Linked DNA regions of Saccharomyces cerevisiae S288C. Changing the gene in region 3 together with the main gene of any one other region gives a genetic interaction. Each region holds a gene or a part of one and is shown on either strand. Other genes may lie near its edges. The genes, in order: RPL40A, CLN3 and UBA1.

What was found.
Region 1: of UBA1 (region 3) and RPL40A, extra expression of one rescues a mutant of the other (dosage rescue), as found in Saccharomyces cerevisiae (one study listed by BioGRID).
Region 2: of UBA1 (region 3) and CLN3, extra expression of one rescues a mutant of the other (dosage rescue), as found in Saccharomyces cerevisiae (one study listed by BioGRID).

The regions. Positions count from the first base shown.
Region 1 is NC_001141.2:67,116-70,106, reverse strand, and holds RPL40A (ubiquitin-60S ribosomal protein eL40 RPL40A fusion protein), read right to left. Parts: upstream 1,400-2,991; coding exon 1,392-1,399; intron 958-1,391; coding exon 579-957; downstream 1-578. Other genes in the region: SLN1 (histidine kinase), read left to right, coding at 1-316; MLP2 (Mlp2p), read left to right, coding at 2,040-2,991.
Region 2 is NC_001133.9:65,142-69,182, forward strand, and holds CLN3 (cyclin CLN3), read right to left. Parts: upstream 2,380-4,041; coding exon 637-2,379; downstream 1-636. Other genes in the region: Rho family guanine nucleotide exchange factor CDC24, read left to right, coding at 1-263; holocytochrome c synthase CYC3, read right to left, coding at 3,575-4,041. UniProt on the Saccharomyces cerevisiae protein: Essential for the control of the cell cycle at the G1/S (start) transition. CLN3 may be an upstream activator of the G1 cyclins which directly catalyze start.
Region 3 is NC_001143.9:37,155-42,765, reverse strand, and holds UBA1 (E1 ubiquitin-activating protein UBA1), read right to left. Parts: upstream 3,604-5,611; coding exon 529-3,603; downstream 1-528. Other genes in the region: ATP-binding cassette a-factor transporter STE6, read left to right, coding at 1-343; TRP3 (bifunctional anthranilate synthase/indole-3-glycerol-phosphate synthase), read left to right, coding at 4,613-5,611.

The DNA.
Region 1 (2,991 bases), on a different chromosome or scaffold from region 3:
ACTGGCTTGCGATGGCCAAGAAGCATTCGACAAAGTTAAAGAATTGACATCTAAGGGCGAAAATTATAATATGATTTTCATGGATGTCCAGATGCCTAAAGTGGATGGTTTACTTTCTACCAAGATGATAAGGCGCGATTTAGGTTATACCTCACCTATTGTCGCTCTAACCGCTTTTGCTGACGATAGCAACATTAAAGAATGTTTGGAATCAGGAATGAACGGATTTTTATCGAAACCAATCAAAAGACCAAAATTGAAAACTATTCTTACTGAGTTTTGTGCAGCATATCAGGGAAAGAAAAATAACAAATGAACAACCAAGAATAGTAAGAGAAATCAAAAGCTTGCGCGTAATACCACCGCTACGCGTTGACTTATATGCATAATATACAAATATACTTAAAAAAAAAAAAACAACATTATAGATTCCAAAGTTATGAAACTAAGAAAAGTATATTGTTTTCTTAAGTATATTGTATGAATTAATATTATGATTTTAACAGTAGGTATGATAAAAGAAGATGTACATTAAAGTATACAGTAAATAAATGTATAGATTGATTGGGCGAAACAGATCATTTTAACTTCTTCTTTGGACGCAATTGGTTGGTGTGACCACACTTTCTCTTTCTACAGTTGGTAGCTCTTGGTGGCAATCTAGCATAACACTTACGGCAAACAGATTTGTCACAGTTGTACTTGGAAGCCAAAGCTTTCAAAGATGGTTCAATGATACCACCTCTCAATCTCAAGACTAAGTGCAAAGTGGATTCTTTTTGAATGTTGTAGTCAGACAAGGTTCTACCGTCTTCCAATTGCTTACCAGCAAAGATCAATCTTTGTTGGTCAGGTGGGATACCTTCCTTGTCTTGAATCTTTGACTTGACATTGTCAATAGTGTCAGAAGATTCAACTTCCAAAGTGATGGTCTTACCAGTCAAAGTCTTGACAAAACTGTTAAAAAAATAATTTTATAAAAAAATGACAAGTTAGTAAGGATATCATAAAAACACGTAATAGTTTTTTCATAACTGTTCGGAAGAAGACAAAATTTTAAACGAGCTCTCATCGTCATATCTTGGGGGAGAGCATGAACCACAAATTTGGATATTTCTTAGGCAATGAGACTGTTAAGTCGCATCACCCGCTCAAAATCTAATCATATTTTCCACAAGTCACTGTACATTCACTAAGTCATTCCTAGAGAGGAAAGTTCCTCATATTCAGTTTGGCAGTTTTCTTTGTTTTAATTTTTGATGGATAAAAAATTTTGTAGACTTTACAGATACGATGTTATTCCACTGGGTAAAAATTCAGTTTCTAAAATAATTGTCCCTTTAAGCTCTGAACGTTCGAAAAACTATGTTTAGAATGGATATGGTGCATACATTTGCATGTTTGAATCTTGGTCGTCTCAACTATGGGATAATAAGCGGTAATAACAACAACAAATAGAGATTCAACTACCTTTAATTTCAGATATTCTTGATACACCTTTGGTTGGAATGTATGCCTCGCTAGAAACTGGAGAAGGCCGTCCTGAGGCCGGAAACCATCTCACCCTCAGGGAGGCAATCGGAGGTCCTGTCTAGAGAGAAAAGAGTACAACAAAACCCATCCCATAGGAGGAATATGCTCCGCCTATGTCCAGGCGGAGTGCTAAGAGGTTCCGCATCTTTTCTGGTTTGCTCCACGAAATATCGACACGGAGCACAAAAATAGAAAAACCATACATCTTAGTAATGTACGGATGTAATAAACTCAAATTGCAGTCAATAAACTTGTCGATAGCTTACCCGGATATTGCATGGAAAATTTACTTCACCATAAGGGAAAAAGACCAATATTCGTTAATGAACAGTGGATATTATAGAATTGTTGGATAGAGTTGATCGATAATTGAAGATAATAGAAGAAGAAAACAATATCGGCGTTAAATTGCAAGCGCTTATTTCTCTGGTGGCTTTTCTTTTTCTAGTGGAAGTTTACCAAAAGAAATTTAAGGCGAAAGAACACTGGGCGGAAGCAAACCGGCAATGGAGGACAAAATATCTGAGTTTTTAAATGTTCCATTCGAATCACTTCAAGGTGTTACCTATCCTGTCTTAAGAAAGTTATACAAGAAAATAGCCAAGTTTGAACGTTCTGAAGAGGAAGTGACAAAACTCAATGTTTTGGTCGATGAGATCAAATCGCAGTACTATTCAAGGATTTCAAAACTTAAGCAGCTACTAGATGAATCTTCTGAGCAGAAGAACACAGCTAAAGAAGAATTGAATGGCTTGAAAGATCAGCTGAATGAAGAACGTTCCAGATATAGGCGGGAAATAGATGCACTAAAAAAACAATTGCATGTGAGCCATGAAGCTATGAGAGAAGTAAATGACGAAAAACGAGTTAAAGAAGAATATGACATTTGGCAGAGTAGAGATCAGGGGAATGATTCTTTAAATGATGATTTGAACAAAGAAAATAAGCTTCTTCGAAGAAAGCTGATGGAAATGGAAAATATACTACAAAGGTGCAAGTCCAATGCTATATCATTACAGTTAAAGTACGATACCTCAGTACAGGAAAAAGAATTAATGTTACAAAGTAAAAAATTAATTGAAGAAAAATTATCATCTTTTAGCAAAAAAACGCTAACAGAAGAAGTCACAAAATCATCGCACGTAGAGAACCTCGAAGAAAAACTATACCAAATGCAATCCAACTATGAATCTGTCTTTACGTACAATAAGTTTTTACTAAATCAAAATAAACAATTATCCCAGTCGGTGGAAGAGAAAGTACTGGAAATGAAAAATTTGAAAGATACCGCAAGTGTGGAAAAAGCAGAATTCTCCAAAGAAATGACTTTACAAAAAAATATGAACGATTTGCTACGCTCACAACTAACATCATTGGAAAAAGATTGTTCCTTGAGAGCAATAGAGAAAAATGATGATAATTCCTGCAGGAACCCTGAACATACTGATGTGATAGACG
Region 2 (4,041 bases), on a different chromosome or scaffold from region 3:
ATAATAACAACTCTAATAATACCTCTAGTAGCGAGATCTTCACACTTTTGGTAGAAAAAGTTTGGAATTTTGACGACTTGATAATGGCGATCAATTCTAAAATTTCGAATACACATAATAACAACATTTCACCAATCACCAAGATCAAATATCAGGACGAAGATGGGGATTTTGTTGTGTTAGGTAGCGATGAAGATTGGAATGTTGCTAAAGAAATGTTGGCGGAAAACAATGAGAAATTCTTGAACATTCGTCTGTATTGATAAATAAAACTAGTATACAGCAAATACTAAATAATTCAAGAAAAAAACATTAGATAGAGAGGGGCAGATGTTCAAGCTATACCCATTATATTGATCCACACTTAGTATTAAGATACGTCTGTGAAGGATGAAAAAAAATGTATAATGTGACTAGAGGAAGTAAGGAGAAAAAACGATAGTAATCGTATTTTAGGTTGTGCGTTTTTATAATTTTTTTTTTTTTGTAATTCTATGCAAATGTAATATAAGTATATTTAAAGAAATAATGAGTCCTGTGAAAACAAAAAGAAAAAAAGATCATTAATGTATGTTAACGTATTTGCTTTGCAAATTTTAATTTATTTGTTGTTAAATGCATTTTTTTTTTGTCGTTTCAGCGAGTTTTCTTGAGGTTGCTACTATCATTAAAATCACAATCCACAGAGGAAGTTGATCTCTTTTTCAGTTGGGTGGGGGCAGAGCATGGGTGAGCAGTGGCCATGGGTCTAACAGGAAATAATCTTTTTGAACGCACAGATAAATTTTGTAATAATTTTCTATTTGACATTAGAGATGGGGTGGTGGGAGTTAGTGGGCTTGGCCAAAAGATGCTTGAATTTTGTGGGATGCTCAGTGACCTTTTAAAAGAATTTTGGGTAGAAGAGAACGAACCTGAATGTGAATGGTGTGATGCAGAGTCTGGGGTCGTCATTGAACTTGAAGTCTTGTAAGGGGAATTGAATGGAGATGGAGAGGATGAAGATGAGGTTGGAGTGAAGGCAAATGGTGGAGAAATGCTATCTTTGGTCAACCTTCTTAAATGAGTGTGATCCGAGAAATAGTCTGTGGCCGCAGATGAAACCGTAGCGCTCTTTGGAGTAGTAGCATTTGAGTAAACACAAGTCAATGAATCGCTGTCAAAGGACTGAGCAAAGATAGTATTGTACATGGTTTCCAATTCTTGTGAACGGTAGAATTCTTCCAGTTTCAATTGAATACAATAGTTTTGTAATGCGTCTAAGAGAGATTTTGCTAAAGATGTCTTATTGCTATTCAAATATTTTGATTTGAAACTGGAGGGGAAAGAATTTTGGTCCATTGCTATATCCAATAAAGTATTAGAGATTTCTGACAATTTAATATCTAGGTCTTGGCAGTTTTCCTCCAAAGCCAGATTGATATTTTCCCAAAGGTTTGAATTATAGTAGTTCAAAGATAATTTGATGAGGTTAATTGCACCCAGCGCAATTAGTGAACGATCATATTTAAATGATAATTCGAGATTGAAGGAAGCTAACTCGCACAACATAATGGCACCCAATTTGATCTCGTTGATGTTCAAAGAGGGGCCTTGAGAAGAGGACGATTTATTAATAGCAGTACCAGCAGCGTTATTTAATAAGGCCAGTTTCTGTTGAATGAAAGCTTCCAAAGGGGCAGAAAGGACAACGCCAGGCGATAACGGGGACGTAGATTGGAACAAGAAGATGTCGATGTAGGAGTCGAATGTTGCCGACTGACAGATGGACCAATCGAGTGATTTGAAAAGATGCATTTCCATAGTCGTGAATTGCTTTATAGAATATTGATTGCAACACAAGTTTTGCAAGACTTTCAAAGTGGCCATTCTATTCTTGGAGTCCCAAAATTTGGACGAAATCCAAAGCGCGGTCAAGGACAAGAGCTGGTAGTTGTAACTCTTGATAATGAACCGCGAGGAATACTTGTCCAAGATAGTGAAAGTAAGGAACAAAGTCGAGGTCGATAGATTGAGTCTTGTGTGACAGTACATGATGAAGTCAAAGATCAAGAAACGCATCTTCGGATTAACTTGTGGCTGAGAGTTGAAGTTAGTCAGGTTGTACAGCGGCCTTTCTGTGTGGGAAAGACGGAAATAGTGGTCCAATTGATCATTATTGTATTCGCTGATCGCTGAGTGATGTGCTTGCAATTCTCTTTTAACGAGATTAGGGTTTTTAGACTTTGCACTAGCAATGGCCCGCCTCTTTTGCAAGAGCAAGGGCAAATTAGGACATGAGGCAGCGCTGACAGAGGCGGCAGTGGCGGTGGAAGTGCCACTAGCGGTAGCATACCTTGCATTAGCGTATCTAATTATGGTATCCTTCAATATGGCCATCGTACAGAAAGCGTATCAAATCAGTGTCTTGAACGAGAGTAAAAGGGAGATGCAATGGAATGTAAGAAATGCTATGGGTCAGAAAAGAAATGCAGAGGAGTTAAACCGAATGAGGAAATGCAATGGATACGTTAAATTGGAGATGTGAGATTGCGACTGGGACTCGGATGGATGCTTGCTTTTGGATGCTAGTACAGAGAAAAAAGAGGGAGAAAAGAAAAGAGAAATAGAAAAAGGTTGGTTTAAGTCGGCAGAGGAGACTACTCGGGCAATTCGTTTCCTAATGGGTATAGTCCTCTTTCCTCAGAAATCCATTTGACTGGCAGACTCAGTAGTAGAAGAAAAAATCAAGAAAGAAATTGTGTGAAAGTATACTACACAAGAAAATGTTTAAGAAGAAGATTAAAAGCTCGAGGAAAGTACAGATATACAAATTATAAATAGGTAGGAGGAAGAAAAAAAAAAGATGAGGGCAAAAACCCAAGGCCAAATATGGAAATGTGGCAGAGGGACACACTAATCCGATAGTAAATTTATGTAACTTGATCATTACAGTGAGAGCAGGCTTGGTAATTTCTTTTTCTTGCCTGATAATTTTTCACTTTTTCTTTTTTTTTTTCTTGAAAGTTCACAATTTAGGGTTTGAGCACAGCGTTTGGTTGCGACACTTCCCCAGAAGGAAAACCGGCCTCTTTGGCTGGGGAGGGAAGAAGGGGGAGGAGAGCTCAGAAAGCCCTATCGCGATATGAGGGACCGATCTGTATCAGCATACTTTCGGTATCATCACGGTCGCAGGATAGAGATAGTGAATGAGTTAGCTGTTTTACAGGCCAAGCGTTCAAACGAGACGAATGGCGACATTTGCCCGTCAAGAAAACCCGCCGAGTTTTTTCCTAAACGGGTAAAACAGCCATGCACCGCAGCACGTCGACGAGGTGATATTTCCAATTTGGGAAATTTCCCAAATCAGTAATGTAGCCTCTACGGGTGTCTCTGTCAGCCCCGTGGTCGCCAGCACAGAATGTATCGTACCCCTGAAGGTAGTTTTTTACCGCCGTGGCACACGATAAAGGTGCACCTTGTGATAATAAGGTGGAAAAATATATATGAAAAAGTGAAATTGATTGTGGCTGCACTAGGACATCATTATTTCTTACTTGGCTATTTACACGTACTTACGCTGGCTGTATATCATTTAAGGGGCGGAGGACGAAGAGGACGGACCCGAGATCATCCGGTCCAAGAAACGGGTCATCCGGTCCTTAGCATTGTCTAGACTATCTAGGGCAGGACGGACATCCACGTGGAAAGTAGGCATTCCGTTTTCGTCGTCGGGCCCTCCGTAGAAATCCAAGACGTATCTAACTTCCTTGAAGGTTGGAGGTTGTTGTTCCGCTTTGCGCTCGCCTCGGAGTACAATCCAGTCGTGCCTGTCGAATGGTAGTTCTTGGCTAAAATGGGACGGAAACAGTAGGCCGCACAGGTGCATCCAGCGAGCACGAGGGCTCAATACGCCCGGTTTCCCCATGAATTTCAGCAACTTAGGCTGCACGTGGCTTTCATCTGTGTGCGGTTTTTCCCATTCGAGCACTTCCTGCCAGCACCCTTCATTTAGAAAGTTGTGGACCTGCACCATGGACTCCACTGCATCTTCGGCGACTT
Region 3 (5,611 bases):
ACCTCAGGGCTTGGATACACGTATTGATACAACTTTACTGTCAGGTGGACAAGCGCAAAGGCTTTGCATAGCCAGAGCACTTCTGAGAAAATCAAAAATTCTGATTTTAGATGAGTGTACTTCAGCCTTGGATTCTGTCAGCTCCTCTATCATCAATGAGATCGTCAAAAAAGGTCCACCTGCTCTACTAACAATGGTTATAACGCATAGTGAACAAATGATGAGGTCTTGTAACTCGATTGCAGTTCTTAAAGATGGTAAAGTGGTTGAGCGAGGTAACTTCGACACTTTATATAATAATCGCGGGGAATTATTCCAAATTGTTTCCAACCAAAGCAGTTAAACCCAAAGAAAATATAAAACAAAAAACTAAAACATACTCAAATATTCGAGACTACATTAATAATAATAATAATAATAATAATAATAAGTTTTTACCAAAGAAAAAGTTGTCAAAAGTCATACATATATATATACATATTTAATGTATATATTTAATTTATTTTTTTATTTTGGTTAATTAGTTACTCATAGATGAATGGTAATGAAAGGAACTTCAACATCCTCTCCTTCCTTGTCATCTGCGCAAATTTCGAGAATCATTGTAGATACATGTGCCGGAATATCTTTCTTAGTCACTAATTTAACCAATTGAGTTATTGGTAGATTTAGTCTTTCTTTCAATTTCTTTGGAGGGAAAAATGAGGCATAAAGAAGAGAAACGCCATAAGAAAGCATTGTTATTTCTAACCCTTCATCTTTTTCAAAATGTTCAATTAAATCACTTAATTTAATATCTCCCTTGATATCAAATCTATCCCAAATTTTATCATATTTCTTGTTGTTATATTCTCCCTTTGGTGAAGCAATTGGTTCCGAAAAACCGAAAAATGGCAAAGCTAAATTAACAAAGCCATTCTTATATTGCTCAATATCTGTCTTGTTGTCAATCAGTTTATATAATTCCAAATTGACCAAACCAGTAACCAAAGAAGTGGTTGTTGCGATGGCAGGAATAATACGGCCAGCTATGAATTTGGTCTTTTGGCGATCAGCAGTTTCGATGAAGTAGTTTTGAGCTCTACAGTTAGAACAAGCCGTTATAAATTCAATATGATGATTAGTGTCATCGTCTTTCTCGAAATCTACAGGCTCCAGTTTAAAGCCAGCCAAAGTAGAAGGATCTGGTAGGGATGATACCAGCTGATCAATTTCATCTGAGCCATTAGCCGCGTTGGCATTTGGATCCGGATCATCGTCATTAACTTGAATTTTCAAATTGGCATTTGGAGTAAATTCTGGAATTATCATATGATCGATGACGGACTTATACTCGTCCACGTTGGGTTTAGAATTAGAGTCATCACTTTTAATACCATAATTATAAGCGCGTAAACTAGCACCTGCTACGACAAAATGGAAGTGATCGTTATTGTAAATATCAAACTCTAATGGTGTTGGAGCACGCTTAGCACCGGACCAAAATGGTTCACCGTTGGAAGTCTTGGCATCCTTGGGGAAGTTGAACAGTAACTGCTTGATATCATGGTTGAATTTTTTTTCAAATTCTAACCTTGCCCATTTGATACAATCTTCAAAATTGTGTGGTTTACTAGATAGAGAATCTGAGATGGATTCTAGAACTCCCTTGACATCCCCGCTTTGCTTTAGTGTTTGCTCAACGAAATTCGGTTGTGTCAAGTACATATTAACGTTTTCGGCGGAATCAGTGAAGTAACCTTGGAAAAGAGATTTGGCCCAGGCAATGGTGTGATCAATCTTGTTTGGGAAAGAACGTAGGGTACACAATGGGATAGACTTTTCTGGTGGGTCTCTAGAAGAAGAGTATGATTCAGTCAATCTTGGAATGATGACTTGAGTATTACCTTTAGTACCTAGGGTACCAGATTCTAACAGTGGTTTTCTATAAAACACACAACGGCGATCTACGTATGTTCTTGCGTCGACATTGTCTAGAGCGTTGGTGACAAAATCCAGGCTTTCCCAAAAGGAGTCATTAAATATTTCCTCAGTTTCTGGCCCCACTTTATCAATTTTAGCATTTATCTTGCCCTTCAAATCGGGGTTCATAGCACAAACGGCCTCTGCCGCTACTTCAGATTTGTTCTTTCCGACATCCTTTGGTCTAAACAAGAACTGACGGTTTAAGTTGGACTTTTCGATCGAATCGTTATCCGTAACAACGATGTAACCGTCGGAGCCAGAACCAAGCCCCAAAAGTGCCCAATTTTTCAACATCTCACAACCAATGGCACCAGATCCGACAAGAAAGACCTTTGAATTGGCAATCTTTTTCTGAAAATCCAAACCGAAAACCGCGATTTGATTATCGTAACGAGAGTTTACTGGCTGAGTAGTCTTCTCATTTCTTGGGAAGTTTTTAGGATCTGGCAATGATTCCAAGGAATCAAAGTACATAAATTGCTTTAGCGGAGTAAATTTACCAGAACATGCTTTTAACACTTCTTGTGCCACAAGGCCACCGAAAAATGCTACGACACCCGGTATGTCACCTCTTGCCTGATAGGAAAGCTCTTTGATTAAATCTTCATTAACATCTACACCTTCACCCAGAACCTCCGGTTGCTGAACGGACAAATCGGTGACCAACTTGATTAATTCATTGGCGTCTTCGTCATTCATTGTTCTTGGCAGTTCACCATTATGTCTAACGGCAAACTGATGTAAAGCCTGAAATCCCAAATGCAATTGAGCAGCTCTGTCAAATTTAGCAAAATCCGAAAAAACAAACTCAGGATTGGACAGTTGTTGTTTCAAAGACTTGAATGAGATTTTACGGGGTACTTTGACTTCGGTGAAGATACCGCCCTTCTTATACTCGCCATATTCTTTGACTGAACCAATTCTGAATGCAAAGGGCCCCAAAACCTCAACTTTAAAAAGGGTCCCATCATTCAACTTATCAAGACCTTCTACTTCGGAGAACCTGACAAAATTTCCGTCTTCCAACCCGTGTCTGTTATCATCTAGCATGGTCACTGTTCCATCGGGCTCGATGTCTGAAACCATACCAGTGCGAGGTTCTTCACCCGTTGGGTCCAACACTGTGAACTCGTCACCTAGGTCTACGAAGGTGTTACCAAACAGCCCTCTTGTCTCCGAGGAAATGAATCTAATACCGGAGGAATGGCAAAATTCGTTGATTTTCACCTTATCTTCCAAAGAAACAGTGTCCGTAGCGACAACGACCTGGAATTGACTCAATTGGGTAACATCGTCTAAGGAATCCAGCACATTAACCGGGACATATGCGTTCAACTCTGCCAATTTGGCTCTGGTCACATCTCCTCTCTTTTGACCAATATCCTTTTCGGTCAAAAAGAATTGGGTTGATAAGTCTGCCAATTGAACCGGCTCAGGGTCAAAAACGGTCATAGATTTGACACCTGCCAACACAACGTTCTTCGCTATCTCAACACCTAGCCCCTTCAAGCCGAGAATTAATACGTTGGAGGTTTGCATTTTCAACATTGCTTCCTTACCCAACACATAAAGTTGACGAGAATAAAGACTTTCATCGATTTCTCCGGCGGCAGAGAGACCACTATTATTGCTGCTCATAGCTATAGTTATATGTTCTTTGCTTTGCTACTAATCTTACTTTTTGTTTGCTTATATCCAGCGATTGGCGGTTGCTCATCCTACTTAAAGGCCCTTTTTGATCATTTTCTTTTACCTTTATTTGCCACCCGCACCTTTTGTCACACTACACGAGAATATGCCGCATGGAAGCGTAATGGCAATTCAAGAAAGAGCTCTAATATTATTTACAATCACATGAATACAAGATCATAGCTTAACAAGGAGTGGATAGTCAGTAAAGGCGCCCTAAGCTCTACTAAAAACTGGGCTTTAAAAGATGTTCCTCGTCACTTGAGAATCTGTTGTCCCTATCTGGTTCCTCATCATACAATCCACTCCATCGTTTCTCCCACCCTACTACAAACTAGTGAGGCGAACGAGAAAATAAGAAACACTAAGGCTCGCTTTTCCTGCTGGACAGAGACATGCATTAGTGTTTGTTGTTCTCGCGCCAGTCGCTGTTTTTGCTTGCAAGTGCGACGTCCTCTTCTTCTTCTTCTTCTTTCTTCTTTGAGATGCGTAACAACACAACTACATTTTGTATTTTCCTCCCTTTTATACTCCTCCGCTGGAGTATTTTTTCGTATTTTTCACTTTTTTTGCTTCTTATAGGCCTTTTTGAACTATTTTCTGTTAGGGCTTAAAGAAAGCGCAGCAAATGGCTGATTTTAAATGCTGTTTTCTCGAAAGCAATGCTGATGATGTACCACAAAGTAGTATTTGCGCTTAGCTTGTCGATATAAGTATGCCTTTGAGCCAGTATTAAACTTCCTACTATCTCTTCTGGACCTCACCGTGCTATTCATATCACTGACGACGGAAAATGCCTCTTGTAGTAATCATTGAATGATCATCAATGGCTCGTTGACTCATTCTAATCTATAGCAGATATTAAGGTACGCAAAAAGTTCGACAAGGAGCTGGTCAGTATTAACACATTACCAAATCTGTTTGGTTCTACATAGAACGCCATAAAAGTAAGAAAAAAATGTCTGTGCACGCTGCAACAAACCCAATCAATAAGCATGTGGTTCTAATTGACAACTACGATTCCTTTACCTGGAACGTTTACGAGTACTTGTGCCAGGAGGGCGCCAAAGTGAGCGTCTACCGTAACGATGCAATTACAGTTCCAGAAATTGCCGCCTTGAATCCCGACACATTGCTTATCTCGCCTGGACCAGGCCACCCAAAGACAGATTCTGGCATTTCAAGAGACTGTATCCGGTACTTTACTGGGAAAATTCCTGTATTTGGAATCTGTATGGGCCAGCAATGCATGTTTGACGTATTTGGTGGTGAAGTTGCCTACGCTGGTGAGATTGTCCACGGTAAAACGTCCCCAATCTCTCACGACAACTGTGGAATTTTCAAGAACGTGCCGCAAGGTATTGCTGTGACAAGATACCATTCATTGGCCGGGACAGAATCGTCCCTACCATCCTGCTTGAAGGTTACTGCGAGTACCGAAAATGGAATTATCATGGGTGTAAGACACAAGAAGTACACTGTAGAAGGTGTGCAATTTCATCCGGAATCCATCTTGACCGAGGAAGGTCATCTGATGATCAGGAACATTTTAAACGTCAGTGGAGGCACTTGGGAGGAAAACAAATCATCTCCTTCAAATTCTATTTTGGACCGTATCTATGCTCGGCGTAAAATAGACGTCAATGAGCAGTCTAAAATCCCAGGTTTCACCTTTCAAGACTTACAATCTAACTATGATTTAGGTCTTGCCCCACCGTTACAGGATTTCTACACGGTGTTGTCATCATCCCATAAAAGAGCCGTTGTTCTTGCTGAAGTCAAGCGTGCCTCTCCATCGAAGGGACCCATTTGTTTAAAAGCTGTTGCTGCTGAACAGGCTCTCAAATACGCAGAGGCTGGTGCATCCGCAATTTCCGTATTGACCGAACCTCATTGGTTTCACGGTTCGTTACAGGATTTAGTAAATGTGAGGAAAATCCTAGATTTGAAATTTCCT